Linked DNA regions of Saccharomyces cerevisiae S288C. The gene in region 4 interacts genetically with the main gene of each other region. Each region holds a gene or a part of one and is shown on either strand. Other genes may lie near its edges.

The links.
Region 1: of UBR1 (region 4) and SSM4, changing one enhances a phenotype caused by changing the other (phenotypic enhancement), as found in Saccharomyces cerevisiae (6 studies listed by BioGRID, with this or other methods).
Region 2: mutations in UBR1 (region 4) and MCM21 together harm fitness more than expected from each alone (negative genetic interaction), as found in Saccharomyces cerevisiae (4 studies listed by BioGRID, with this or other methods).
Region 3: mutations in UBR1 (region 4) and KAR3 together harm fitness more than expected from each alone (negative genetic interaction), as found in Saccharomyces cerevisiae (3 studies listed by BioGRID).

The regions. Positions count from the first base shown.
Region 1 is NC_001141.2:295,550-303,749, forward strand, and holds SSM4 (E3 ubiquitin-protein ligase SSM4), read right to left. Parts: upstream 4,461-8,200; coding exon 501-4,460; downstream 1-500. Other genes in the region: SUMO protease ULP2, read left to right, coding at 1-188; EMA17 (Ema17p), read right to left, coding at 5,280-5,708; EMC5 (Emc5p), read right to left, coding at 8,130-8,200. UniProt on the Saccharomyces cerevisiae protein: E3 ubiquitin-protein ligase which accepts ubiquitin specifically from endoplasmic reticulum-associated UBC6 and UBC7 E2 ligases, and transfers it to substrates promoting their degradation.
Region 2 is NC_001136.10:1,100,936-1,106,586, reverse strand, and holds MCM21 (Mcm21p), read right to left. Parts: upstream 2,830-5,651; coding exon 2,778-2,829; intron 2,695-2,777; coding exon 1,640-2,694; downstream 1-1,639. Other genes in the region: auxilin-like protein SWA2, read left to right, coding at 1-492; YFT2 (Yft2p), read left to right, coding at 760-1,584; HIM1 (Him1p), read right to left, coding at 3,159-4,403. UniProt on the Saccharomyces cerevisiae protein: Component of the kinetochore, a multiprotein complex that assembles on centromeric DNA and attaches chromosomes to spindle microtubules, mediating chromosome segregation and sister chromatid segregation during meiosis and mitosis.
Region 3 is NC_001148.4:815,234-821,659, forward strand, and holds KAR3 (Kar3p), read right to left. Parts: upstream 2,691-6,426; coding exon 501-2,690; downstream 1-500. Other genes in the region: TAZ1 (lysophosphatidylcholine acyltransferase), read left to right, coding at 1-303; rRNA-processing protein RRP15, read left to right, coding at 3,090-3,842; ribosome biosynthesis protein NOC4, read right to left, coding at 4,532-6,190. UniProt on the Saccharomyces cerevisiae protein: Minus end-directed microtubule (MT) motor involved in spindle midzone assembly, poleward transport of newly captured kinetochores along the lateral side of MTs, karyogamy (nuclear fusion) during mating, and with an essential function in meiosis I.
Region 4 is NC_001139.9:859,044-868,969, forward strand, and holds UBR1 (E3 ubiquitin-protein ligase UBR1), read right to left. Parts: upstream 6,711-9,926; coding exon 858-6,710; downstream 1-857. Other genes in the region: QCR9 (ubiquinol--cytochrome-c reductase subunit 9), read right to left, coding at 20-217, 431-433; tyrosine--tRNA ligase TYS1, read right to left, coding at 7,293-8,477; transcription factor IIF subunit TFG1, read left to right, coding at 8,731-9,926. UniProt on the Saccharomyces cerevisiae protein: Ubiquitin ligase protein which is a component of the N-end rule pathway. Recognizes and binds to proteins bearing specific N-terminal residues that are destabilizing according to the N-end rule, leading to their ubiquitination and subsequent degradation.

The DNA.
Region 1 (8,200 bases), on a different chromosome or scaffold from region 4:
AGTTGGTTGATATTGATGATGTGGCATTTAGTAGTCCAACTAGGGGTATTCCAAGAACCAGCGCGACAAGCAAGGGATCAAATGCACAACTTCTCTCTAATTATGGAGATGAAAATAACCAGTCTCAAGATTCTGTTTGGGATGAGGGCAGAGATAATCCTATACTCTTGGAAGATGAAGACCCTTGAAAGCACTCGCACGCATAGTTTTATATTTTTTATTCTTTTCCTCTTTATTTTTATTTTTTTAACATTCTCGCATAATAATAGTAACAGCAATAAAATAACTAGTAATATACATACTCACATAAATAGGCATATTTTTTATTTTGTTCTTTCGTATTCAGAATGGTAAATTTTTCTAATGAAATGTTTTACAAAAATTTTTTTTCTATAATTCTAACAATAAGAAATAAAACAGTGGAAAAACATATAACTTAATGTAGATATATATATGTAAATATGCTAGCATTCATTTTAAATGTAAGGAAGAAAACGCCTTTAACTTTCATCTGGTAAATTTTCTAAAGCTCTACCCTTAGTGTAAACCTCGTCTTTTACATTCTGTACAGTACTTTTGAACCATTGAATGAACAGCACAGTTGCTTGGAAAAAGAACGTAAATGACTCTAATGCTATCAGTAGTCCGAAATAAATATCTTGCATCCTTGTCCATGTTGGGAATGATTCGTTAAGCGATAAAGTGAAACTCCTGGATCCATGGCTAATATCGATAATCTGCTTTGTAGAAACATCACGTAAAAATACTAAGGATAAAATAATAATCGGCAAGACGTAAATTACCATGTGCAGGAAACCTTGTTTAAACAGTTCCAAAGCCATTGTTTTCAAGAAGTTCAATTTACTAGTATTTCTGTTTCTGAAAAATAGTTTCAATGACTTATATCCGGTTCCGAAATTGACCATTGACGAAATGATCCAAACGACGAATAACAAACTCTCGTCATATTTAAACCATTTGGAATTACCAATAGTGTATGAAGAATTGCCAAACACTCTGATGGTGAGATAATTGTAACAGGCTAGTATACCATCGGTTAAGACGACCCACGAAACCATAGTTCTAATAACCGCAATCATGATAGCTATAAACACCATCAGGTTATACTTCACCAACATACTATCAAATATACTGTTAAAGATGGCCATGAAAATTCCTTGACCCTCTTCCACATTATTGATATTATTAACAGGGGCATTGTTGATATCTCTCTCTGGTATATCGTGTTCCACTTCCTCTACTTCGTTTTCGTCAACGGCATGTTCATCGAGAGTGTTTTGGCCTTCTGTAAAATGAAGAATATCCTTAGCAATCTTGGATAAACAAACAGATCCGACACAGACATAATAAATGTTCAAATAGGAGTAGCTAATGTCAGAGAGTTCCTTCCATGCAACATAGACCTTATTTCTTTCACCTAACAATAGCTTTACGACTGGAAGAAAGCCGAAACTACAAACAAAGTTTATTAAAGCTTGACTAATAAATGTAACACCAAGCATTAAAATGGAAGCAAATAACCAAACCAGGCCAAGCAATGTCATATAGCGTAAACGGAAATCTGGAGGGACGTAAACGATATAATATTGATCATATTCCGTGTTTTGTTCGTCTAAATAACCAAATTCACCAGCAGCACGTTTGTTTCTCTCTTTAATTCTTTCCAAATCTAATGGTTTCAACAGCTTATCATCCTTTGTAACGGGGACAAACATTGTTTGTACATAATTTCTGGATACTATATCAGAAGAAGGAACACGCATTAAAACGCCATCGGGGACAAAATAAGCATGAACGTCACGAACTTGCCCAAACAATTCTTCTGCTTGTTCTAGAGTCTTTGGTTTAGTGAAAAGTTCTTGGTTTGACCATTCTGCATTCTTGGCAGCAATGTACTTGTAAAACAAATTGCGGTAAACAATATGGCCTCTCTCTGTTGGGGTATCTTTACCTAAGATAAAGGATGATAAACGTAATTTTCTTGAACATAACTTAAAAATTGTTTTCCAATACCTTTCCAATAAGGGTTTAACGTAAGAGCTAGACTCCAGGATCCTCTTCGTAAAATATAAAGTTAGCAAAATTGTATTGAACTTCCATGAAATAATTGATGTTGGTTTATAAGCTTCAGGAACGGATAATAAGTTCGATTTGAGCATGAATGGGAAAAAAATTCTAGTATGGAAGCCAAAACCTAAGACAATAAAAATCGCATAAATAAACATGGATAAGCAAAGCCTTGATAATTGAATACTCATCGGATGAATTAAACTATCATGCAAGATCTTAATATTAGGATCTTCTGGAGATCTGATAAAGAATAGAACACCTGGTCTAATGATATTTTTCCTAATCATTCCGATATATTTGGCAAACCAATACATGTAGAGAGTACCAATCGTCCAGTATACGAAAAGGGAAAATGGAGGCCATATTGCGCATATTGAAGGAACCCAAAGCATCCGACTATTGGATGCCAGGATTGGGCAAAATAATGAGAAATCTAGCATTACACCAGCTAGAATGGGGAATCCAGCCAATTCGATGAAAAATAAAGTGAACACCTTGAAAGTGCATTTGAGTGCAAATAAAATCTGGAAAATCAGCCTTCTAGTAGGGTTGCTCATTCCGTTCTCACGGCCATAACCCCTCGAGACAAGATTGGATGAAGCACAAACGATACTGACTGAGGTTAGATACGTCGTTAAAGCAGGTAAAGCTCTGATGAAAATTGAGTGCTTCATGGTGTTTTCAGTGTAGCCGTTGTAAAGATAAATGATGTCATGAATTAAGTGGTCTGAAATCCAACTCATCGCGACATCTACTTTAGGGACCAGTTTCGTCAGCCCATTGTAAGCTATATGAGCGCCAGACAAGTAGTAAAGATGGCACAACCCACGCAAAATAACCTTAAATATACCAAAATAAATTTTCAACAAACCGAACCCAATAAAAGTTGGAAACAAATAGGAAATTGCCAGGTATATTGCGGTGAAAACTACGGCAATTATGAAATAAGCAATGACATTCAACAATTTCAATTTGAGATTTATCACTAGAGGGCCTTGTCCTTGATCGTCTGGGTTAGCCTGTGCTGGTGGCACACCAACAGCTGCGCCAAAGTCTTGTTCGTCTTGATCGACATTTCCAGCTCTGTTTTGGGCAGGTGGTGGGATGAAAACCGGAGCGTTGGGCCTGTTTATTGCGTTCTGTTGAGCAGCGATTAGGTCATCAAATTCATTTTGCGCACGACGATTTGCCCACATGTCAATCGGATTGGGCTCTATATGATCACGGTAATCTGCCTCTTCTTCTGGTTGCTGCTGTTGCTGTTGCCCCTCTGCTTCTTCATCTTCTTCGTTGTCACTTGAAGACCCCGGTAAAATTCGTGACGAATCATCACCTGATGGTAAACTATTGTCAGAGTCGTTGTTCTCGTGCTCTTCCGTAGCCTCATCATGATCTAATTCGTCTACGTGGCGAAGGTTTTCAAAATTCCGATGGTCATTAGGATCCTGAGGTGGAACGTTATCGTTTCTGGGATTAATAACATTATTATTATTATCTGCTGCTGCGGCTGGCATGTTCAGTCTATCATGACCTTGCTCTTGACGATTTTCGTCATGAGCTCTCATTTCCCTCGCTAAATATTCAACCATTCTATCATCCATCATGGGGAATCTTTCCTTCAAACGTGATTTCAAGTCCTTGGGAGATAATCTTGGACCTATCTTGTGGAAAACCATTTTACTGAAAACATCCTCTCTTACTATCATATCGTATTGAAAGTACAATGCTATATGTAGTATCACTATCATAATAAATTGTAAAGACGTAAACGAATGGTTTTGTAAAAGTTGGTAAAAAATTGCTCTCGTGGTTAATTCTGGAGTTGCTGACTGATCATAACCATAAATCAAACTCTTTAGGAAATCACCAGGATAAGGGGATGATCCATCTAGCATCATGGTGTATAATTTTCCAAACATGTTCCATACCAAAGGAACACCGATAATATATAGTACAGCGGCCAAACCAATCGTTAAAGCCAAACGAGCTTTTTCGAAAAATGTCAAGATGCTCTTGGATAGTAGTAAAGAAAAAGGTATCTTTTCGGGCATGTTTTCCGCATATATCGTTTTGAATTGAATGGGATAGTGACAGATGTCACATTTAACATCCGCGCCTGGTTTTGAAATGTCTATATTTTTTGAAGCTACCCATTCCAACAGACAGGATTCATGCATGTATTTAATTGAGCCCCTGCATTTACAAGGATGGAAAAGAGGATTGTCCTCAGTAGCTTCTCCACGACAAATACGGCAGGTGGCGCCGGATGGCGCATCATCATTGAAAGTGGCGGTATCTGTTTCCTCGTTTGCCACCTTATGCAGTTCATCTCTTAACCTGGAGACATTAACGTCAGAATCAACATCCATGACTTTCACACTTCTAGTCTCTTTGATTCAATTAGTGGTACTCTTGGCTAAAAAAACAGTTTTTGAAATCAGTAACAAAGAACTATTCTTAACGTAATCTTATGGCTTCATAGATCGGTCATAATCATCTTTTCAATGTCCTCAATCGATGCGTTTTCAACCAGTTTTCCGTCTCTAATGATTTAATTTTTCTATTGAATTGAAAATGGTAAAAAGATAGCCCTGTAGGGGGCTCGAACCCCTAACCTTATGATTAAGAGTCATACGCGCTACCGATTGCGCCAACAAGGCTATTTCGTTGGAAAAACTACTTATTTTAGGAAGTAATAGCACATTTAAGATGCTTGTTGGAATGAAACTTTAAAATATCATCTGTTTAGTACTATTCATGTTACTAATTAAGATATGGGTGAATTTTGAGATAATTGTTGGGGGTTCCATTGTTGATAAAGGCTTATAATATTATGTATACGGAATATACTAGAAGTTCTCCTCGAGGATCTAGGAATCCTCATAATGGAATCTATATTTCTATATACTAATATTACGATTATTCCTCATTCCGTTTTATATGTTTCATTCTCCTATTACATTATCAATTTTTGTATTTCAGCTTCCTCTAACCTCGATGACAGCTTCTCATAATTTACGCCATCCTCTTACACCGCATGTGATGCTATTACTACTAAATAGATAACATTAGAATTTCATTCCAACAGCTTTAGTCTGTTTTAATAAACGCAACAGCACCATAATGTTATTAATTTTAATAAAGCCAAATTATGGCCTGCTGATTTCTTTTCATTGGTAAAAGTTCTATCACCCGTTCCCCATTAGTATGATAACCGATAAATAAACTCTATTACCTGGTTTCTTCGTTCCAGGAACGTTTATACCCTGACTACACATTTCTTTTGAAAAATAGGCCAATTGAACAATTAAGTTAGAAGCGGTTAGAAAAAGGTATAATAGGAAAAAATGCATCCAATTTTTACAGTTGAACCACTTGGGGGATTTTATTCTCGTATTGTAGCGGGAGCATTTTATCTTCGTACATCTTGGAAGCTGTAGATTAATCTTATTCCTATATGCTCCTTCAATCCACACAGCAAACCCCCAAATGGAAACGATCACTGAGTATGTTATAAACCAGCTTACGCTTATACTATTATCAAAATTCAAAAGATTGAACGGGGAAAATGGTAGAAATGAATATTGAAGCATTTTCGCAATGAAAATTAACCGCATTGTTTTTATAGTAATTCTGATGGCTAACGGCGGTAATACAGCATCCTTACGAAGAGCGGGAATAGTTCATTTGCCCTCTTTGATGGTTTGCATAACTGCGTTGTTGATTGTCTTAGGAATGGAAATATTTAACAAATATACCTATAATGAAAAAAGGGTCCTTCTTTTTAATTATTATTGGCAGCGAAAAAGTTGTCCCAGCTTCTACTTTTTTTCCCGTTAAAAAAGGAAGCGGCGGAAGCTGATCTACTCTCTAATAATAGACTACTCACTCGCATCTTGGTAACGAGTCCCTTTAAGATCTTGGTACATAAAGTTTGCTGCAGCAAAAAGGGCTTATTTGCGCATTCATGATATTAAACAACACCCTGTTTAGCGTGTTAATGATCCTTGTTTTATGCCAGTATATTCTGTATACCTTATAATAGAGTCAACAGTTAAATCCTAATCATTACCTCAGGACTTACCTATTTCTGAATATCATGGTCCACCATTCTACCTCAGTGAATTGATTGAACCGCACCATTGGAATTGTCATGGTGAGCCAGCGTGCTACAACTTCATGATTTTACGAGCTGAAAAAACACGCCCTTAGGCATAAAAACTCAATGGAAATCTGTAAAACAAAATAAATTTCGCTTTTTAACTTGGCCTAATGGGAATACTTTAACAATTGAACCTGTCACTAAATCAGAGGAAGTACATGCCTAATTACTCAAAGCTGTATTTAACTAATTTACCTATACTATCGCCAGGCATTCAAGGATGAAGACATGCGTCAATGCAAATAGTGACGGCTGCTGCATTAAAGAGGTGCTGCGTGGTGTAGAAAAGGCAATAACATGGACGATGCAAGGTTATTCAGACGCGTTGTTTGTATGCCATTTCCAATGATAATGTTGGTTGCGTTATATAGAAATGTGTTAGGAAGAGATTCTACAGTTGATTGCAGCTTTGACGTTATACTTACACCTTGGATAATGGCCAGTATGTTTTCCAAACGTATGGTGAATTGGTCTAATCCACGTCAAGCTGTTTTAAAAGTATGCAGCGCAGCCGTGACCTCCCGGATAGTTGCCAATTGGTTGTTTACGATGAACATATTATATACCAGTGGTGAAAAGGGTTTTTACTCGCTAGCAACAGCTGTGGTAATTAAAACGGTCACTGATGGGTTTACGGTGATACGGGTTTTCTCTATTCACCTGAACGAGTCAGTATATAGCAAGCCATTACCATAACATTGGGTAACGTCGCACGCAACACAGCTGCGGGTGTGTGTGGTGATTGGTTAGTCAATTGGTCATTTGGGCTGGTAATAGGGCATGTTCCCCTTACAGCTTGTACTGTCTCATTGGGGTTTGCTCTTATTGCTGGAATAATAAATGGAAAGGTTAACGACGACACAAATGGTTTTCGACGACCAAAACAAATTAGCAAATGGCAACCTTTTGTATTAGGGCTAATTAATGTAAGCGATGTTACCATTTTGTCTATTTCTGGCGGTGGACTGGTAGCTTCTTCATGTGGAGGTGCAATAGGCTATGCTACTGTCATTAAAACTGTTGCTACCACAAATGCACGTTTCGCGATTACTGAGGTGATCAAGGAAATAGTTATTCGTTATTCATCACAATTAAATGCAGAAAAAGTTTGTGAAGAATAAAAAACTCGAGCCGGGTGGTAAATTGTTTTAGTACGGTTAGCATCGGTTTAGTACCTGTACCAATATGTGTCACTTTTGTTATTTCTGCAGGCGATAATACTTATAATAAACGCATACATGATATCATAACTGCCTTTATACGGCACCTTACAACTAGCATGGGCGTTCAAGTGGTGGAGAACTATTACCTGTTCCTGAAATAACAGAATGAATCATCAATAAGGGCTTGTCTGTACCTCAGGATGATTTGAACAAGTTCCACTTACGCTAACATGAGGATGAATATCGTACTTATACTATGTAAACTGGAATAGAAATATTCCGAACGGTTATCCATTAGAGTGTTAGCCCTCAAACCGAGACTCTCGATAATATTGAATAGAAGATTTTACCACTAAATTTAGTGTGTATTTATGTATCTTAATAACAAACTATCCAACGAAGACGCAAAAGATACTATCCGCCCCGTAATCCTTTTGAAACCACTCAAGCTTATGGTTCACGTTATAGAACACAGGAGACGCTTGCATTATTGGTGATTCTAATATAGCTTTCTATTCCTCTATGAAAGGCGTCTGTGTTGGTGTAAATAGAAGAGGTGCCTGGTCACCTGACGCCTTATTTTGTGCAGTTACGATGTTCGAGTAGATTCGCTATCGAATTTATGCTCAAAATCTAGCTAATCCTCTTATTAGATCTTGATATGTATATATGTATGAAATTATAAGTTCTAGCTCTAGTTTTCAGTATCTTATTTATTTTTCTTTTTTTACAGTGTTAGAGGCCCATTCCCTGCAAATTTTTCTCTTCATATGAACGTCAACAA
Region 2 (5,651 bases), on a different chromosome or scaffold from region 4:
GGAAAAAGAAGATGCCAAGACTTTATTAATCCTCCCCCTGTTAAAAAATCCATGCCCGTTAAGAAGAAGACAACGACAACCTCGCCTGCAACAAAAAAACAGAACTTAACCGCTTCTTCTTCAAATTCTCCAATTTCTGTTGATAGCACTTCAGAAATAAAAAAACGGGAGCTAGAAAACGCTAAACTGGCGCTATATGATAAAGTATTTGAGAAAATTAGCTCCTGGAAGGATGGCAAAGACGATGACATTCGTCATCTGTTAGCAAATTTATCCAGCTTACTAACATGGTGCAATTGGAAGGATGTCTCTATGCAAGATTTGGTTATGCCTAAGAGGGTCAAAATTACATACATGAAAGCTGTAGCCAAGACACATCCTGATAAGATACCAGAGTCCTTGTCCCTGGAAAATAAGATGATTGCAGAGAATATTTTCAGTACTTTAAGTATTGCTTGGGATAAGTTCAAACTGCAGAATGACATTAACTGATTTCCCTTGTGTGCCTGCTTCGCTCAGTTGTTTTTGATATGTACTTTATACAAATATATATAGGAAAACAAATTCTTCAAAGCGCGTTAGGAAAAAGTATGGAAAGGCTTAGTTTCATTTATTGACTTACAAGTGGCACCCAATTTGATTAATATGAAAAACAATCTGCAAAAAAAAAAAAAAAATTCAAAATATCACAATGTTAAAACACAATAGAAATAGGGCATTGTATTAAAACCACTGAACGACTAAAAATTGAAAAAGATTATGATACGTCAGCTCAATTATTGGTCAAGGAAGGCGTATCTCATTTACCCCTTTCAAGTTTTTGTAGGCGCATTATTATCAATAGTAGTATCTTCAGAAACATTAAACCATCAAAAAGAGACATGCGCTCTATTGAAATCGTCCAATATTTTCAATGTTATTTTTGCATACAAAGCGAACCAACTGTGGCCATTTTTATTCTTTAGTTTGGCTTTTCTGCAAATATACTTCCACTATCTAGCAAGAATGGATATATTGCCTTTACCAATATCAAGTACCGAAACTAGCTCTTCCTATTTAACATATACTAACCATTGGCCTCTGCTCAAAAATAGAATAATCAGTATTATGATCACTCAATATGCTTGCAAGTTCGTTCTAAAATATCTATTATTGTTTTTGAATTTCCAATTTATCGATCATGTTTTCATTTGGACAGGGGGAGAATGCAGTTCTGGTAGTAAAACGACATCAGCTGAAAAGTGCCGTCTAGAAAATGGGAAATGGGATGGTGGGTTTGACATTAGTGGACACTTCTGCTTTCTTGTGAGTATAAGCATGATTCTTTGGATGGAACTTCACTTATTCAGTAGATTTGTTCAAGCTGAAGATATGTTTTGGGTTGTGAATAAGTGGGTACGAGCTTGCCTTGCCATTGTTTGCGCTGTCCTAGTAATTTGGATATGTATTCTCTGGGTTACCGCTATTTATTATCATACTATCTTGGAAAAAGTGTTAGGTTGCCTTATGGGTTTCATATGCCCTGTTTTCATATACCACATTCTACCCAAAATTGGGATACTACACAATTACTTATATCTATGATAAACAGAGAAAATTAGCTCTATCCTCTTTCTATAAAGTATATTTTTGTTAACATTCACTTGAATATTGTCGCGAAAGAATGGTTTAATTTTAATTCCAAATCATCCAAAGAACCGAGCAATGCAATTTCCCATTTACTTTTATTATTTTGACTAAAATCATGAATATCGTCCAATATTGAACATGAAACTATTTCATTTTGTTTTACAAACAACTCGACTTTAATATCCTTCACAAAAAACGAAACCATTGAAGATTCTAAATCTAAATCTAAGTCGTGGATTATCTTCTTAGCTTCTAAGTCCTTAAAAATCTGTCGTCTTTTCTGTACTTCCACAAGTTGCAGGAAGACTCTTTTAGCAAATAAATAGGCGTCATCATGAGATATCACTAGTCCCCCATTGGTGTCATCAAATATACCTTGGACATCAATGAAACTCGGGATTGTATGCTTGAACAGGAACCAACTATTCGATTTGATCCTCTTTTTCAACAATACATAGTGAGGTTTTTCAAATTGGGATGTCCGTTCGCTGAAGACTTCCAGTCGTATTCCCAGCATTTCTCTATCAACAAATATTTCACCGCTAGCATCTTTTATCTTAAGGTCAATAGGGTCCACAAGAGGGAAAAATGTTATACCAAACATTCTATAAACATTTTCCAGGACAATATAATCTTCCAACTCACTTCTATCACTTGTACTAATATCGTCTATTTTTAGTTTTCGCTTTCTTTTTGAAGGTGACGTTAGAATGTCTGTATCCAATAAATCTGCCACCCCAGGATCAAACATTTGATGCTGAACCATTGGCTGGGTCTTTAAAACCCATTCTTGTTCTGGTAAAATTTCCTCATTCTCCAGCTTAGCTCTTTTCTTTGGTTCATACGGTATTGGCGTTGCTGGTATATCCGCTTGCGCCCTTGATATGTCCTTGTCATCTGTCTCTTCCAATTCTGGATGCTCATTAAATAAAAAATTATTCAACTGTGGGAATTGATCGAATAGATCTTCAAATTCTTGTACTATAGGATTAGCGCTCTCCTCATTTTTTCTTTTATCTTTTATCTTCGCTTTGAGCTTCTCACGACTTTCTTCTAATGAATTGACTGTGAAGATTCTACTATGTTAGTGTTCAACTTAATCATTTTTTTAAAAGAAAGAAAATTGTTACAGCCTCAAAATCACATACTTTCACTGAGTAAAGATTCAATGTCCTGCTGTAAATCATCGATTCTACTCATTGCCAGGAGCGTTACTGATAGTTTGAAAGAATTGCTCAAGTAAAGAAATCACATTTTCCCCTCATTATCCATATGGCTTTTGTTTGTTTTTTCTTCAGTTTTGAAATATGCGCGTTTTCTTACCATCATTATAAACTTAGGGAAGATCTATCATAGAATTGGTCGGCCATTACTGGCGATTAGTAAAACAATACATAAAGTTTGCATATTCAATGCGATAAAAATTTAAGACGGCCCAGGTATCGAATCCATGATATAGTGGTTCTTTTATGTATTAGGCTACTATTTATTTAATAACTTCGCATCTATCAAAAGAAAAGACTGACTGTTCACACAATCATATCAATTTGATAACTGCTAATTACTTCCAGCTTAGGTCCCGCCTCTTTACTTTTCCTTTCAATCGCCATCAAAGAGGCAACATAAGAAACCTTTGAAACTGGGACAGCGTATCCTAATAATGCAGATCCTGGCATCCTATATATACTGGAAGCAATTATTTCGCTTAACTTTGTTCTTAAGCCAATCCTTCTGGCCTCACTGATATATTTCTTTTTATAAACTAAAAGATAGTGAGGATAATAAAAAATTTTTTCCAAGAAAGTGGAGTTTTCTTTACCCAATTCAACGTTTATAGGATTTCCGTGCTGTCCACACATCGGACCTGGCCTCAAAATAACTAGCTCCTTTAGCTTATTTGGCAAAGCTTCATCCAAGTCATTTTCTAATTTAGCTTTTATTCTAAAATACTCGAAAGTTTTACTAAGAAAATCATTATTAAAGGCAGTTGTAACCACCAACCTTTTGTTAGTTGTATTCGTGAATTCTTGTGCTAAATTAAAAGGTAAGTAATAGTCAGCAAAGGAACTTGGTACCTGAGTTCTCCGCACTCTAGCTGAGGTGGAGCCCAAAGAGCACACCATAGTGCTAATATCACACAGACTAGGCAAACTTCTACCGGGAACGTAATTTTTGTTGTCAATGTCAAACTTTTCCAGCTTTTGTGTTCCTGAGAATATCCGTGGAAGCAATTTTGGCCAAGTTTCAGATCTGGGGATGATCAATTGCGTTACAGTAAAATTACAAATGATCTCAATACCTTTTTCCTTTCCGCATGCATAATGTAGTGTGTAACTGAACTGTTTCTGATTATAAACAAAAGAATAACCATCTTTTCCCCTCTCTTCAGGCGTATTTTTAATAAATCCTTCTTCAAAATTATCATAACAAAAAGTATTAGGACTAGACGGTACTTTTTCAGTGTCTTTTTCTTTCCTGCTTCTCAAGTAATATCTGCCACCTTGCCAAGTAACTGATCTCATATTTATATAATCAATGGTCTTCATAAATGATTTCTCCTCATTGATGCACCTTCTATTAACACAAAAGACATGTTTATTGAGAACGACATTTCCCTTTATTTCACTTAAGCTATCAAGCTTGCCTTGTAGGTCCGAAACATTTTTAATATATAAATTTATGTCCAACAGGTTCTCTAAAATACCTTTTCCTACTAAACTAGATGATCCAAACAATAAAACGTAATCTGTAAACGTGTTGACACTATAACTCATTTCTGATCAACCTTTCTAGTTTGGAATATTCTTCAAAGGGTCTATATGTATAAAAAGCTGTCATTTATATTAAAAAGAATTTATAGCGTTTACTGCGGATCAAAATTAAATACGTCAATTTTTCTTAAAATTTCTTTTAATCTAAATGACACAAAAAATGTCACCCATCATTATATGTATTGAAAACCAAAAAAAAAAAAGGAAAATTATACTTTCAATGAAAGACACAAAAATGAAGAAGTTCAAGGATATAAAAGTTAGTTTTTACCTGTTGAATTATATGCAGAGTTACTGTTAAATTACAACAACTTATCGTTTCTTGATGAGTATTCAAGGTGACGGAATATTATCATATATGATGTAATAAAATGACATAAATGATAAGAATGCGTTATCAAATTTAAAAGCAACTGAAACGCACGGATTGATGATAAAAAAGGATAACGATTGGTAACATTTAGACTAAAGAATAGATCGTAATATAGGAGATTTGAGAAATATGTGGGTAATTAGATAATTGTTGGGATTCCATTGTTGATAAAGGCTATAATATTAGGTATACAGAATATACTAGAAGTTCTCCTCGAGGATATAGGAATCCTCAAAATGGAATCTATATTTCTACATACTAATATTACGATTATTCCTCATTCCGTTTTATATGTTTATATTCATTGATCCTATTACATTATCAATCCTTGCGTTTCAGCTTCCTCTAACATCGATGACAGCTTCTCATAACTTATGTCATCATCTTAACACCGTATATGATAATATATTGATAATATAACTATTAGTTGATAGACGATAGTGGATTTTTATTCCAACATACCACCCATAATGTAATAGATCTAATGAATCCATTTGTTTGTTAATAGTTTGAATGTTTTTATCGGAAGAGGTTTGGTCATTACGTCTGCAATATTCTTTTTGGTTTCGATATAGCATACGTGCAGATGATTTCCTGATACTTCATCTCTTAGTCTCATTGCTTTAGTACCAAAAAATCTGTTTCTAAATTTCTCTTCATTATTGGATATAATTATACTGATTGTAGATTTACTGTCGGTTAGTAATCCTTTAGTAATTGGTTTCTTGTTAAGTTCTTGCACAAGGTGACTGAGGTTATTTAATAATGGGACAGATTCACTTATCGCGTGTATTTCTGCTTCCGTAGTTGAAGTACATGTTAATGAAGCCTTGGTGGACTTTCCTCCAATTACCTTTCCATTAAGTAAATATATGTTG
Region 3 (6,426 bases), on a different chromosome or scaffold from region 4:
AAATACTATGATCCCAAAAATCCTAACGACCTCTCTGACGAATTGAAATATGGTAAAGAGGCGCAAGATTTAAGAAGCAGATTAGCCGCTGAACTGAGAGCCCATGTTGCTGAAATTAGAAATGAAGTTCGCAAATTACCACGCGAAGACCCTAGGTTCAAATCCCCCTCATGGTGGAAGCGGTTCAACACCACGGAAGGTAAATCGGACCCAGATGTTAAAGTCATTGGCGAAAATTGGGCAATAAGGAGGATGCAAAAGTTTCTGCCTCCAGAGGGTAAACCAAAGGGTAAGGATGATTGAAATTTAAGCAATTAAATTCGTGTAAATACTAGCATGTATGAGGTCATTTTTACATAACAAATATTCATTACTTACTTTGCTTTTTATCTGTGCGCATTAAAATGAGTTTCATATATAATATAGTTACATGTGATGAATGTATGGACAGTCTCTGTCATTTGTCAAAGGAGTGAAAAAGACCAGAAAAGGCCTTGACCTCATTTTCTACTAACCAATCTGGTAGAATTCACTTTAGACGCAAATCTTAACGAATTGAGAGTCTCATTAATATGAGAGGAGCTTGGTGAAATGTTTACAAACATTAATGTTTTCGAATCCCCAGTGAGTGAATATTGCAGTAGGTATGTCAGTTTTGAGTTCCTGAACGGTATATGTCTTTTGGTACTATCAGGCTGACCTAAAGCATGAATAACGTCACCTAAGCAACTTAAAGATTTATTTATATTTTGTGTTTCTCTTAATCTATCCCCTACAACTTGAGAGACATTTATTCTTTCGGAACCGGCCAAATCAACAAGATTTAGTGTGCCATACGAGTGTGCTCCAGTTTTTGCATTTGATCCAGACAAATGAATTATGAAAATACTGTGTGAACGGGAGGAATGCTCATTTGATGCTGTGCTAGCGGTGGATCTTAATTTATTTGCTTTTTTCAGGATTATTTCCACCATTTCTTCCGACTCAAGCTTGCAACTCGTAACATTCGTTATCGTGGTAGTCTTAGTTTCCTGATCATGACGTATTTCGTGCTTTAAGCCAATGCTTGTGTCTTCTTTATTATTATTATCACTTCTCAATAAGTCTACGATGTTCTCGTTGTAGATCTCAATGAATTCGCAGTTAACTTTATAATCCCATCCTTTTGTCTTTAATTTATTGATCCAGTTAAATATATGAGATATTGTGGACGGAATGATACCATCACCTGGATTTAACATCGTGAAAGTTTTCCCAGATCCTGTTTGTCCGTATGCGAAGATACAAACATTATATCCATCTAATGAACTTTGCACTAACTGACCAACTTCTTTAAAAACATCCACATTTGTATCCTGTTGATCAAATATTTTATCAAATTTGAATTCATGCACTTGCGCTGTGTTTTGTATTTTCGTCACTTCCATAGATTGAACACCACTATTGTCATCAAATTCATTAACATTAATAAGGCTAGTATCAGAATTTTCCAAATTTTTTAGAGCTGGACGAATCCTACAATAAACTCGTATATTTCCTCTTAACTCTTGTAACTCATTATGCAATGTGCGTCTAACCGTTTCCTCTTTAATCAGAATTTCATTCAACTCCTTCATACCCAGTTCAGTGTCTTTTATATATTCCTCAAGTTCTTTGATCTTTTCCAAAGTTTCTAAATTAGTTTTCTGTTTTAATGCCACCTCATCTCTCAGCCTTGTAGTTTCCTCTTCCTTTTCTTTAACTTTTACTTTGATAGCTTCATACGCGTTACGCTTTTCTGTTAAGAGCTTCTTTTTTTCTGCCAACTCAGGTTTTAATGTATTTTCGATTTCCTTTTTTATGCTTTCGATTTCTTGCATATGTTTATTATTCAGCTCTATATCCTTTTTCCACTGCGATTGGTACTCTGTAAGCCATTCTTCTTTTTCAAGCATATGCTTTTGTTCAACATCGTTCAACATTTCCTGTAAAGTGGAAGGGTTCATGGTGATTTTATTTCTTACCTCTTCTATTTTATCTAAAAGCGACGCTCTTTCATTTTCAAACTGTTTAATCTTCATAAATTTCAATTTCTCAATTTTTGTTTTGTATTCATTTTCCATTTGTTTCAGCTCTTTTTTATTAGATGCCGCTAGCTGCTTTAAATGTATTTCATGTCCTTCATTCATGAACTGCTTCTTTGACAAAAATTCTTCTTTAATCGAGATAAGTTCATTGTTTTTCAAATTCAGTTGCTGTTCAATTTTTATCTTTTCTTCACGAAGGGTTTCAAATTTGAGATTAACGGCATTGATTTTCTCTTTCGTTTCTGTTAGTTCATCTTTGAGTAAATCTAGTGTTGCCTTTTTCTCAAATAAGATTGCTTGTGTTCTATTGAGTTCATTAACATTTTCTTTATAAAAGGAAGTTACACCGGAGTTGCTTTTCTGGTTTCCATAAATCAAATTTGCTGTACCTTTATAATTCTTTAAAAGCTCGCGATTAGGTGACATGGATATGCGACTCTGACTAGCTAATGAGTGTCTATGAATATCCGTACGTTGCGGCTTCAGAAGAGTGTGCTTAGGCGGTGGAGTTGTTGTATTTCTTCTTTTGTGGCCATTCATAGCTAAAATATCATTCTTCGGCGATGGTGTCGAGAGATGCTGCGTAGATCTGCCTTTTGTGGGAGTACGTGGAAGTGATTCCATAGTTTAATAGTTGCCAGAATTTCTCTAAGTCCTTTATTTCAAAATCTACCTTTTTTAAACAAAGACTCCGGATAGTTGTTCTGGTATATTCAAATAGAATAATAAGAAACACAAAGAGCGGAAAAATTGATAGCTTTAATGCTTATATAATATTCGATAATTTTTTTAGCTGTAATACTCATCATCATATTTTGATTCGAGGCGCATCAAATTGTAAACAGTGTTTGTTTTGATTTTGTTTGAGATTCATTTTGGTGTATCTCCATTACCCTCTTATTGGAAAATTTTGAAAGAAAAAAATCTAGGATTCGATGCCCATAAGATATAAGGAAAGGTAATAAACAGATGCTATGAATAAAGCGATAGAGAAGCCGAAGGAAAATCAGTACATAATTGATCATGGGCTCCAAGCACAGAGTAGACACTAAGGATAAGAAAAGAACCAGAAAGAATGCAGAATTTGGGCGTGAAAAAAGGAATAGTGGCAACCAAGAGTTAAGTAATGAGCCGGAAAAAGATACAATAATGGAAGGTGATGAAGCCGAAGAAGACGAGCAGAATAGCTCTAGCGATGAATCATCTAAAATTATAGATAACGAACAAAGTGATGCTGAAGAAGATGATGATGAAGAAGAAGAGGACGACGACTTCCCAAGAAAGAAAAAATCGAAAAACAGCAAACATGATGATGGTTCTACTGGATTTTCTGCTGCAGTAAATGCTATTTTATCATCACATCTGAAAGCATACGACAGGAAGGACCCCATCATGGCTAGAAACAAAAAGGTGCTGAAGCAAAGTGAGTCAGAAAAGCTAGAATACAAGGCCAAAAAAGCATTGTTGGCAGAAAAAAAAAAGTTATTAGGTAAAGCCAGAAAGACGGATATTATTCCAATTGCTTCCGGAGAAGACAGGTCAGAAAATATTAGAAAAGTCCTTGAGAAGGAGACAGCGCTCAGAAAGATAGCTCAAAAAGGTGCCGTGAAATTATTTAACGCCATTTTAGCAACTCAAGTCAAGACAGAAAAGGAAGTATCCGAAAATTTAAGCGAAATTAAGAATAAAGAAGAAAAGAAAGAATTGATCACTGAAGTTTCCAAAGAAAAATTTTTGGATTTAGTTAAAGCTGCCGCAGGAAGCGACAATGAATAATCAACATGTTCATGTCAAAAGAAGAAAAAAAATAAAGAAATAAAAACTGTATATTATTTAGTCTATGTCAAGCGAGAAAGGGGCCCTATATCTTCCCTCCTCCTTGCAATTGAATTTTGTTTGCATTCTATATTATCATATAGTTTCATATCAATTGCAAAAACTTTTGCAGCCAATGTTACAAAATTGTTTTCAATCAAAGAAATACAGGTGTGGTGTCCTTCACCATCGATATATTAATATTAATATATCATGAATAAATATAAAAATTCAAGGTAATGTACTTGTGCACTTCTTTTAGAATATAGCAATTTCCCTTAGCTCTTTTTCAAATTGTAATTCTCTACAATACATAAAAAGAAATTGATCTTTGGTTCAACTTTATATATCGCAATAAGCAATTCTCAACATTATGAAAGTTTATCTAAATTAAACAATCTTCAACAATAGAATGGTCTCTTGGCCCAGTTGGTTAAGGCACCGTGCTAATAACGCGGGGATCAGCGGTTCGATCCCGCTAGAGACCATTTATTTTTGACCCAGGTTTTTTTCCTAGGCAAAATTGATAACAGGGACTTACTATTTTCTATTTTTTTTTTTTTTTACATCTCAAACAAGGGAAATCGATGACTCTGTTGATATAAATGTATATATACACACTTTTAAAACTTCGTTGTTCATCTTCGCTTTCACCATGCTACCCCAGGCAAGTAGACGTTACCTTGGGATGACGCTTCGCTATCGCCGTCTTCATTATCAAAAACGTTTGTGAAAGCCTCAAATTCTAACGTAGGAAGTGTCTTCAACTTTCTTGAAGATTCTGCATTGAGCAAAGAATCATAGTTCCAGTCTAAGAAATCTTCCATGTTATAACTTAGCTTCTTAAATGGTTGAGCAAATATCTTCGCCAACGTGGCTACATTAGGATGATAATGTTCCATCAATGACGCCAGCTCCCACAGAGAGGAATCCAGTGCATGAGTTAACTCAGGGTCCGATTCATGAACATCGAAGGGATCTACATAGTTTTCTTTCAGAGTTTTCAAGTTCGCCACTTGGTCAGGTGTCTGGAATGGGTTGGAAATGAAGGCTGGGTTGTGCAGCATAATCATACAATTCGGATGTTTCCTGATTAAATTATAGATGAAGGGAATCACGGTGACAATAGCAGAGGGTGGTGATTCTAGGGTGAGTCTGGCTAGCTTTTTGATGAAAGATGCTACTAAATGGGCGGATAAATGTGTTGATGACAAAAATACGTCCATTAACCTGAAAAATCTTGCTCTGTATTTAACATGCATTAAGTCTGGATTTATAATTTGATAAAGTTTCATATAAAAATTTGGATATTCCAAGTTGAATCTTTTCATCAATTCAAAAAGGCCATTCAGAGCCAAGATCGGAACAACACCGGCGTTTTTATTAGAGCTTTGCAAATTGTAGGAATCAGTAAGGAAATCCATTAGTTTAGTTGGAGTGTGGAAATGAGGTATTATTCTCTTATGCAAAATTAACAGAATAGACTTATACTGCTGTAAAGACAATTGGCCGTTTAAAAGGGATAACCAATTTTTCTCGAAATTGGACTTGAATTTGGACTCGTTCTCTATGGCTTGTGGGGGATTTGGTACAAAGATCTCTAAATCTGCATCAACACTAGAGCAATGTTTGTCATGATTTACTAAAGCTAACCATTTACCAACGTTTTTCAAAAGCAAGTCCTGGTAGGCTGGATCCTCTAATAGTTGGTTAAATTCTGATTGAAAGTAGTATTGAATATCTGCAAATTTCGTATAATATTTTTCCGTGAATTCTACTATGATTAAATTTTCAGACGCACCCGAGCTTTTGACATCCTCTATTTCACCCATGTTCGAGGACCATAGGGCGATGATTAACTTTCTGAATGTTTTATTGGGGAAAAATGGTGCGCCCTTTTCAGATGCAAAATGAGTTGATTCCAGCTCTGCAAGTTGAAGATAGACATCAAGCGAATCTAACCCAAGTGATGTTTCGAAAGGTATGTCCGAAATGATAGCTAACAGCTTCGTCTTGAACGCTTCATACACCTTTCTACACCAATTAACAAACTGTTCCTTCTCTAATGTGCTCTTTTTGGACGAAGGAAGGGTCAAGTCGCCGCGGGAAAACAGCTTTCTAAATATCTGGAATAGCGACATAACCAGAAATCTCAAATTTTTTTCTGTCTCATCTTCTTCCAATTGAGTAACATTTTCTGGAATCACTAGTTCATTGATTAACTTGATAATGGAGTTGTACTGCTTTCTGTCACCCGCAGCAGTCAGCCTCTTGGCAATATCTTTAATTTCTGATATAAGCAATACCATATTCTTTGACGTTTCTTTTTAATAGATCTCTCTTCATGGCAATAGAGGATGATAATTACATCTCATCTCATCTCATCAAAACCGTAATACACTTTTTTTTTTCTCAGTTGGAAAATTTTAGTGAAAAATTTCAAGAATAGCCCTAAACCTTCAAATACGAGGATTACCCGTAGAGAAGTGCTGAAAAACTTTTTTCTTTTTCTTTTTTTTCGATTTTCATTTAACAGGTATAAAAA
Region 4 (9,926 bases):
TGTGTGACATAATCAGCGTTTACTCATCATCGTCGTCTCCATCGCCTGCAGCTATTCGAGCCTTGACATCTTTCCATAATTTTCCTTTGTTGTGATTCTCGTACCATGAAGTAATAGCAGTATCAAATACAGTTTGGAAAACAAAGGCACCTGCAAAGATAGTACCAACAAAAACAGCGTTTCGTTTGAAAAAGGTTTTATATAGTGATGAAAAAGACTACTCATAATTTATGCATTGTTAGTAACCTGAATGGAAACGCATGGAACATATTCATAGAGCTGCTGTCACCAATTTCATAAGCTTCGCTAAGTCGTTGCGCTCATCGGTGGGAAACTAATTTCCAAAGCCCATGATACTTGGCTAAGGAAGATTCCACGGATAACATTTTTAGCCTGAAATGTGAAGCAGCACACACACACACCAACATACCATTTTAGTCCGTATTGCTATTGTTGCTTTACGAAATTGCGAAGGATATGAAAATCAACCTTCAACGATTATTGACTATCCGTGACAGGACATTAAATACAACTGCTAAGCTAAAGTTTGAGAGGGGATGTCATTAGGGAAAGGCCCAAGGATTGAGCAGCTTTTAGGTCCTAGAATTCTTTCGGCATTGACTTCCCCGCGTTTGATTGGGTCGTGTATAATGATACATATTAACAACTGGGGAGTTCAAAAGTTGCCTTCGCTAGATAAGGAAACTTATGATAGTCACTTCGAAGTATTTGTAATTAGGTTGGTATTACTTCTTTGTTAATAATAAATAAAAGTCAATCGACGCGCAAATGTTTAATAATGTATAAGTTTTTATATACAAATATGTCAACTATAAAACATAGTAGAGGGCTTGAATCTACCAAATCTCTCGCTCATCAGAGTCATCATTATCATCAGAGTCATCCTCATCGAGGTTTCTTGGATTTGTATTTCTTATGATAGTAGCTCCATCAAATTGAGGTCCTAAGAACTGCAATATTGGTGGGGGATTCTGAGGTGCATCATCATCGCCATTTCCCTGCGGTTGTAGAGTGTTCCTAAAGTTTTCGAAGAATTGGAAAAAATCACGTACTCCGCCACCAGCAATACCTTCTGCGCCAACCCCAAATAAGTTGGCGGCCTGTCCAGTTTCATCATCAACATCCATTTCGTCATTTCCCTCCGTAAAAAACCCGTCTTCTCCCTCTTCCATATCTTCATCATCTTCATCTGTTGGAGGTATTCTTCTTGGCCTTGGTTCTCTATTAAATGCAAACAAGAAACCATTGGAAAGTATAGTCACTCGAAATTCGTCACCCATTACTCTACTAATATAACCTGGAATTTCATTGTTAATCCATAATCTGTTTAAGTGCTCATATCTTTTCAAATTCAAGGTGGTTAAATCACCTCTTCTCATGGCATTTCTACCAACTTCACCATGCGAATTTAGATATGGTGCAGATATAAAAATATTAGAAGGAGGCTGTGTCAAATGGAGACAAACTTCACTTGAATTGGGCATCAGGAAGGCGCCAAATGGTTTAAAACAATTTTTATTCAAATGCTTGGTCATTTCATGGCGGTCCGCTCTTAAATGCACTTTGACACCACATGTCAAACATATTTTGAAATCTAATCGATTATCCGCATTCTTCATATGCTGAGAACGCTCTTCACGTAGCTTGATTTCCTTAGATTGGGTAACGTAAGTATTCAAATATTTTGATAAATCTATCAGTTTTATAATCCCACAATATTCATATGGGATGTTCTCCAAATATGGATGCGATACAATGGACTCCTGCGTTGTCAAAAGATCGACTAAGGATTCTTTTTCAGTAATCATTTTCAATGCCTTATTGACAAACTCGGCGGTATCTTCGAATTCCAGTTCTTCTTCAACCTCATGACCGTTGATGACCAGCGTTTCATTTTCAGAATCTTTCACTAATTCGTGTAGCACTTTGATAAAGACTAAGCACCTTCTTATCGTAGGAAGAAGACTCTTCAACAGGAAGGTATAAGCTAGATCATAAATAATACTTTCGGAGTCCAATCCCTCCATTCGTACATCAGATATGGTCCTTAGGGCGAAGAGCATCTGCTCACTTACTTTAAGAACATCCCCAATTTTGGACGCTTTAGCATACAATTTGGTAACCTGTTCTGCATCAGAAAGACCCTGAAGAAAATCTCTTAGAAACTGTCTAGAGAACGTTGTTAACGCCTCTGTAACAGTCTGACGAAGTGAAACTGGAGAAAATAAAGCGCTTCGAACAATATATTGGAAGAGTTGATTTTGGTTCCAAACAGTATCGGGCTGCTGCGGGTACGGTTCAAACTCCATACTTGGCTTGCCTATGACAAAGGTGAACAGCATAATGCAGACTAATATATTTTTTAAAGTTTTGTATTTCTGTTCCCTGCTTCTGAAAAATGAAATACTGTATGGCTTTTCTAACCTAGAAGCAATTTCTAACATTGAAATGGTATTTGCCCAGTGCACACTTAATATTAAAGAAACGTCCTTATGCGAAAAGTTGGCCCGCTTTCTTACCGCTTTATCAAAACCTTGACACTGAGATATCATCAACGAAAATATAGAGTTTATTGTACGATAATTTTCCTCAGTAAAAGGTTTGAAGAGCCTTGACAATGTATCCAAAGAAAGTTCTGATTCCAAAAACATATCTAGCGACAAACCAGTATTTGCCTTTGAGGTTTGACAAAGAGGTAAAGTACAATTCGAAAATGTTTGGCATAAAGGACATATAAACGCGTTTGATGAAAATCTCTTTTTTTGAACGTACCTCTTGAAGCAGTTATGATGAATGTGATGATTACAGGATACAAATACTTTCCTAGATCCACAACTACCGTTTTCCTTCAAAGCCTCTAAAACATCATCGTCAATATAAGCTTGTTTTTCATCATCGTTGTAGAAACCATCCCACATGGGCATAAATTCATTTGGGTTAAAAATATTACCAGGTCTAAATATCGGGGAATGATCATGGTACGCAGGTATCACAAAAAAATCGGTCGAACTGGAATCTTGACATAGTGCGCAGGTAAAATCCTCCGATTCATATACTTTTTCACCGACCATGTCAACATCGTTATCCTGCTCATCAAATTCAGACTCATGTTCTTTCATGAATTTCGTTTGTTGATTGTTAAACTTGGCTAGAAGCCTTGCTTGATGTTTCTTGGCCAATCTTCTTTTTCGTTCCTTCTCTGTCTCTTGTAAGTTAACTCCTTGGCGTAGTTTCTTATCCTTATAATCATTAACGTATTGGTTGCCAAAACTGGCAATTAATGACTCAAAAAGTTCATTTGGTTTTTTCATTATCATCTTCTCTAACAAATAGTCGGCTTTACGGACAATACTCTCGGAAAATACGTCTGATTTAGCATTGGCTATGCTCAAGAGTAAATTACATATAGGCTTTGACAAATAAGCTTCTGGTATAGAGTCCTTACCATTTATCAATTCATCATCCCTGAATATACCATGAACTAAATGTAGTAGCTCATTCAGGAAAGTGCTATCCTCCATATCCAGACATACCTGGAGTAGTTTATAGACCACTTTGGCAAATACCGTATTCCTTGTAAAAGCACCCAGATTGAGAGCGTCTTTATCTAACTGTTTTATTGAGACTTGGGGTATTAGTACAACTTTTGCTATTTCATCCTTATCCTTAGCCAAATGTGATTTAATAATAGTTGCACTACTTTCGAATTCGTTTTCCAAATTCAGCAACTTTAACGGATCAACCTTTGCATACAAGCTTGCTTTTAATTTAAAAACACCATTGTCGGCCAAGCCCTTAGGCTCAACGAAAACAGAGACTTCTTCAAGTGCTTCGTCAAACTCGGTAGTATCTTCAGTTAGGTAGTCAGGAACTGATCTTAGTAGCTTTGAATACGAAAGGGGTTTCATGTAAAGGTTATAAATGATTGAATTTTTGATTTGATCCATTCTTCTATCCTTTAGAGAAGAGAAAGTTTTAAAATATTGTCTTTCGGTCAATATTTGATAAATAAAGGCAATGAATTGTTGAATGATGAATGAAATTTTATCCTCATAGACAGTGTGTTGATAGTCAACTTCACCTGTAAACCAGTCTAGTAATTCCCATCTATCAAGAATATTGTATATTATTCTCGGAATGTCATCACGTTCCCAAAGGATAGCTAACTGATTCAAATGTATATCTCTGGAATAGGAACCTAATTCGGGATTGTTTTTATAATACGATGCTTGATGTAACACAGACATACCATTTCTTACCCAAAACCCGACGTCAATTTGAGAGCACAATACAACTGATCTCAAAGAGAAATCCGATATTTTCAGAAAATCTGAACAGTCTTCTAACGCTTCGTATGCATCCTTTAAAGACACTTTTTCGATAAGGAATGAAAGCATTGTTTGTAAAGGATTCATAAATGCAACTCTTTCGTGGCTTACGCTAAACTTAATGACTTCATGAGAATCATATATTAACTTGTATGTTAGTGATCTATTGCCTAGAAATGAACTGATAATTCTTATTGCATTTAAAAAAAGCTTTGAATCAATGGAATCTTTTGATTTTTCGCTAACTTTTTCCGCTGTTTGAATAATACTGTAAATGGAGGTGGTATATTCTAAATAGGAGATGAAATTTTGATCTTCGTGAAGAACATGTTCACCTTCTTTACGCTTTATCTTCCACGCTCCATTGAAGAGCTTGCAAAGAGTTAATAGAGATATTATTTCCTTAGGTCTCAATGGAATATTAGGATCATGTACCTTACTCAATAAAGTTTCAACTGTATACAACCCTTGCTTGAATGATATACTGTAACTCTTTGTTAAATTGCTTTTTTGAACTCTCTGCCAGATCAATACACCACCTTCCACCTTACAAAACTCCTTAAAAATGTCTATAATTGACCACACAATATCCAAAAAACTTTGGTTTTCGAAAATATTTTTGGCATTCGTAGGGCATGTAAATAACTGTACGACACACTCTCTTATAGCTGTTAGCTGAGGTTCTCTATCCATATATGCCACAGATCTTGTGATGTGGTTGAATATTTCGACTACCTGTTGACAGAAAATGGGCTTGTATAAATTTGAAGAGGCCAACGTTGGAATGATCACATTCTGAATATCTTTTCTCAGTCTTTTCCAATATCTGTTATCAAAATAAAGAATATGTTGTAATCTTGTATTAGAATATGTTCTTGATGTTGGAGTTTCTACATCATTTATCAATGGTGAAAGTGAATGGGTGCTTGATTCGGGTAGAATTTTGTGATGACCCAAAGGAATTTGATTGCCATCTGCAAGGATAGATAAATCGATGTATCTGTAGGGATCATTCTTATCGAACTTGTTGCTGAAATATTTCTCCACCACCGGTGTCATATCACGACATTCTGTTGCATTTAAGTATTCTGAACACAGGGTTTTACCCATCATGTTCCTAAAAGTGGTTTGGAAGGAGGAGTTTGGTATGTTTAAACAGTGTGTAATCCAAAGGATGATATACTTGCATGTTTCTTGATGAAGATATTCTGACCACGATGTTAAAGTGGCACTTAATCCATTCGTTTGAACAGCAAAAAAACCACCTAAGACAGATGATAAATCTTGTGAACATTTCAACATTGCTCGACCTTCTCCGTCAATCCTGGATGTTAATAGATCAATGTGTACGTTATCTGGAACCCCCTGTCTCAAGGCAGTCGTAGCCTGCGAATAGTTATGATATTCATCGTTATATATTATTACCGTGTAATTTTCGGGATCGATTTTCGCAAGCGATGGAGATGCCTCAGGGCTATTAGAGGGGCTCGTCTTTGCTGTTGTTGTTCCGTCAAACATATAATCGTTTTCATATTTTAAATCGTTTAAAAACTGCGCTCTTTCATACATTTTTCCCTGTTGTGTCATCTCTCTTAATTTGATAGTGATATCTTTCTGTATTGTGGGTAGAGGTTCGATATTCTGGTTAAAAACATCGATAAAATAGTCAAACACTTCTGCAAGAACCAACTCCACTAATGCTATATTCACTGAATCATTCCATACATCTTCTTCCTTTATGTCGGCATTTGTGGCGGGATCTTCCGATATATCGTTTTCTTGTTCTTCAGCTTTGCAATGAAGTGGAGAATTCCAAGCTTCTTCATCTCCACAGTCACAAATTCCACTAGTGAATTCAGTACATATATCGGTACAAACATGATGATTCACATGATCTTTTGGATTAAAACAATGAATACAAAGCACACAAGTATCATCGCAACCACACTCATGACACCTATACAAGGGTTCCCCTATTTTGAATTTCCTCCCACAATTTCTTCCGGTATGTTTATGGACGTCTCCTATTCTGGATTCATCTATCTTATAAAACGGAATAGTTTGTTGAGATGTTATCTTATCAATATCCACAGCATCTTCTAAACTGTCAGGAAAAACAGTAAGCTCTGGGTTAGATAATTTTTGTTTTGGATGAGCATTGAATAAAGTAGGTAAGTTCTCTCCGCTGTTAGAAATGACAAAGTATAGATATCTGTAAATGAACTCTTTAAGGGCTCTGCTCATGTCAGCCCTTTCAGTAGGACCTCTCGTATACCTAAAATAGGGGAGGTTATGAATAGACCTCAGTGTTCTCCTAATGTGACCTTGTAAAGATCCTAAATCATCATCAGCAACGGACATATTGGAATGTTCTATGTAATTTGTGTGACCTGTAAAGATTAGGGACTTCAGTGAGAGAAAATAGTCAACTAATAGGATACAGTAAACTTCAACTGCCTTTGTCCGAAGATGCGAAGAAAAAGGAAGAAAGGTGGTAAAAAAACTTAATAATGTATCGCAATAAGAAGGAGGGGCAAAGAAAGCAGGATGCTACTATTAAAATAGTTTGCTTTTGTTAAATGCCCAGTTTCACGCTATAAGTATGCAAAATTAAAGAATAAAAAGCCCAATGAGGAATAAAGCAGTTTTATTGAGGTGAGACTAAAAGGGTCTAGCAATGAAAACAATATATGTTTCCTTTTTAAAATGTACCAAAGTCTTTATACTCGCTCGTTGATGTACTGGGCGTTATCAAAACTGTTTGCCACTGGGTAGTTGCCTTATGGTCACTATCTGCAAGTTAAATTCAATCGCAAGAGGAAGAGAAAATAAACCGTCGCATCACTTTTCTACACTTACCCGGTTATTAATTTTATAACGTTTATATGATATATCTTTTCTTATTTATTATATTATGAATCGTGAAAACGGATTAAGCTATGCTTACAATTTGGTTTCCTCTAGTTTCGTGGCAATCTCGTTGGTCTTAGTAGCGCCTGGGTACTTAGTACCCTTATTCTTTGGTTTCTTAGCCTTTTTCGACTTTTGTGGTGTGGCAACTGGATAACCCTTTTCGGAGGCCTCTTGAAATTCCTTGTTGTTGGCAAATTCTTGTCTGATTGGCTCCAATAGCTCGTTGATAGCGTCAGCAACACCAATTTTTAGATCAGGTGGGGACAATTTTTCTTCTTTAAAAGCCAATTTCATTTCTTCGAAGGATTTGTAGGTAATTGGACCACCGAACTTTTCTGGTCTATCAATGAAGAATTCGAAGTGATTTGTACCAAACTTCAATTCTTGGATTGGTGCAATGACATATTGGACAAATGACAGTAAACCATTCTCTTCGACGTTACCGGGGCTACAAAATGCACTATTGATCTTTTTCTTAACTTGCTTTGGTTCTTCCAAAAGGTCGATTTTTGAATTCGGATCAGAGGCAGACATTTTACCACCTTGAGCCAAACCTGGAACCATAGGGTTCATTAAATGTGCTCTTTTCTTGTAGCCCAAACTTGGTAAATTTTCTTCCGCTAAGACAAAAATTTTTCTCTGGTCGACACCACCAAATTGGCAATCAACATCTAAGAATTGTTCGTCCAACGCTTGCATTAAAGGATAGATAAGCCCACTCAATAATGGATTGGCGACTTGCTTGACAACATCAGCGCCTGCCCTTTTAGCATCGTTTTGTGAAACAATGTTGGATAATCTAAAGATATCCATGGTATAGTCTGGAGTTAGCTGGTAAGAAGAGCCAACAACAAATTTTAGCTTTTCAATTGGAACATTGATGCTTCTCAAGATAGCTTTGATGGTCAATTCATAGTATTTGGCCCTATAGTTCACCACTTCCAATGGCGCCTTCATGTTGTCCAAAAAGGCGTGCAAGTCTGCTAAAAGAACAGTCACTTCACAACCTGCTTTCAAGAAATCAGCAAGCTTGGTCATAGGAACAAAATAACCACAATGAGGTCTTCCAGTGGGCGCGGTACCCCAGTATAATTTCAAATGTCTCTTTTGTACTTCGAGAACATCTTTGATGATTTGTGGGTTCAAGACTTCTTGCAAGTTCTTGGTAATGAGACCGAACGCCTCATTAGGGTCAACCGTGGCAGCAGAGGACATGTTATCGTCAATTAGAGTATGCGGTTATGGATGCTAATCTCTTTTTGACAATGACTAATTTGTATTCTGAAGAAAGAACAATTAATTTTCATAAAATTTTTCTACTTTGTAAATGTTCGAGTTCCGTTCTTAGTGATGCTCGAATAAGGACCTTCTCGCCTCCATGATAAAATAAAAATTATGATAGTAAGAAGTATGGATGGTTCGAAAGGTTGAAGAATAGCTAGGGAGGCCTATTCGAGTAAGCGCAAGGATGTCCAGACGCAATCCACCAGGCAGTAGAAACGGGGGAGGTCCGACGAATGCCTCTCCCTTCATTAAAAGAGACAGAATGAGAAGAAATTTCCTGAGGATGAGAATGGGTCAAAACGGCAGCAATTCTAGTTCCCCAGGCGTACCAAATGGAGACAACAGCAGGGGATCTCTTGTCAAAAAGGATGATCCTGAGTATGCTGAAGAGAGAGAGAAAATGCTTTTGCAAATCGGTGTCGAGGCCGATGCTGGCAGGAGCAATGTTAAAGTAAAGGACGAAGATCCTAATGAATATAATGAATTTCCCTTAAGAGCTATTCCAAAGGAGGATTTAGAAAACATGAGGACACATCTTTTGAAGTTTCAGAGTAAAAAAAAGATAAACCCTGTAACAGACTTCCATCTTCCCGTAAGACTGCATAGGAAGGATACGAGAAACTTGCAGTTTCAGCTAACAAGAGCAGAAATTGTTCAAAGGCAAAAAGAAATTTCTGAGTATAAAAAAAAAGCAGAGCAAGAAAGAAGTACTCCTAACTCGGGTGGTATGAATAAATCAGGAACGGTCTCGCTCAATAATACTGTTAAAGATGGGTCTCAGACACCTACTGTTGATTCAGTTACTAAAGACAACACGGCCAACGGTGTGAACTCCTCCATTCCTACTGTAACTGGCTCTTCTGTCCCTCCTGCTAGTCCTACTACTGTATCCGCCGTTGAAAGTAATGGACTGTCAAATGGTTCAACTAGTGCAGCTAACGGTTTGGATGGCAATGCATCTACAGCGAATCTAGCTAACGGAAGGCCGTTAGTGACAAAACTAGAGGATGCAGGCCCAGCTGAAGACCCTACTAAAGTTGGAATGGTCAAGTACGACGGAAAAGAAGTGACTAACGAACCGGAATTTGAAGAAGGAACTATGGATCCACTAGCAGATGTGGCACCAGATGGAGGCGGTAGGGCCAAACGAGGAAATTTGAGAAGGAAAACTCGTCAATTAAAAGTTCTTGATGAGAACGCCAAAAAGCTGAGATTTGAGGAATTTTATCCATGGGTTATGGAAGATTTTGATGGGTACAATACATGGGTGGGTTCTTATGAAGCAGGTAACTCAGATTCTTATGTCTTGTTAAGTGTAGAAGATGATGGAAGTTTTACCATGATTCCTGCTGATAAGGTTTATAAGTTTACCGCAAGAAA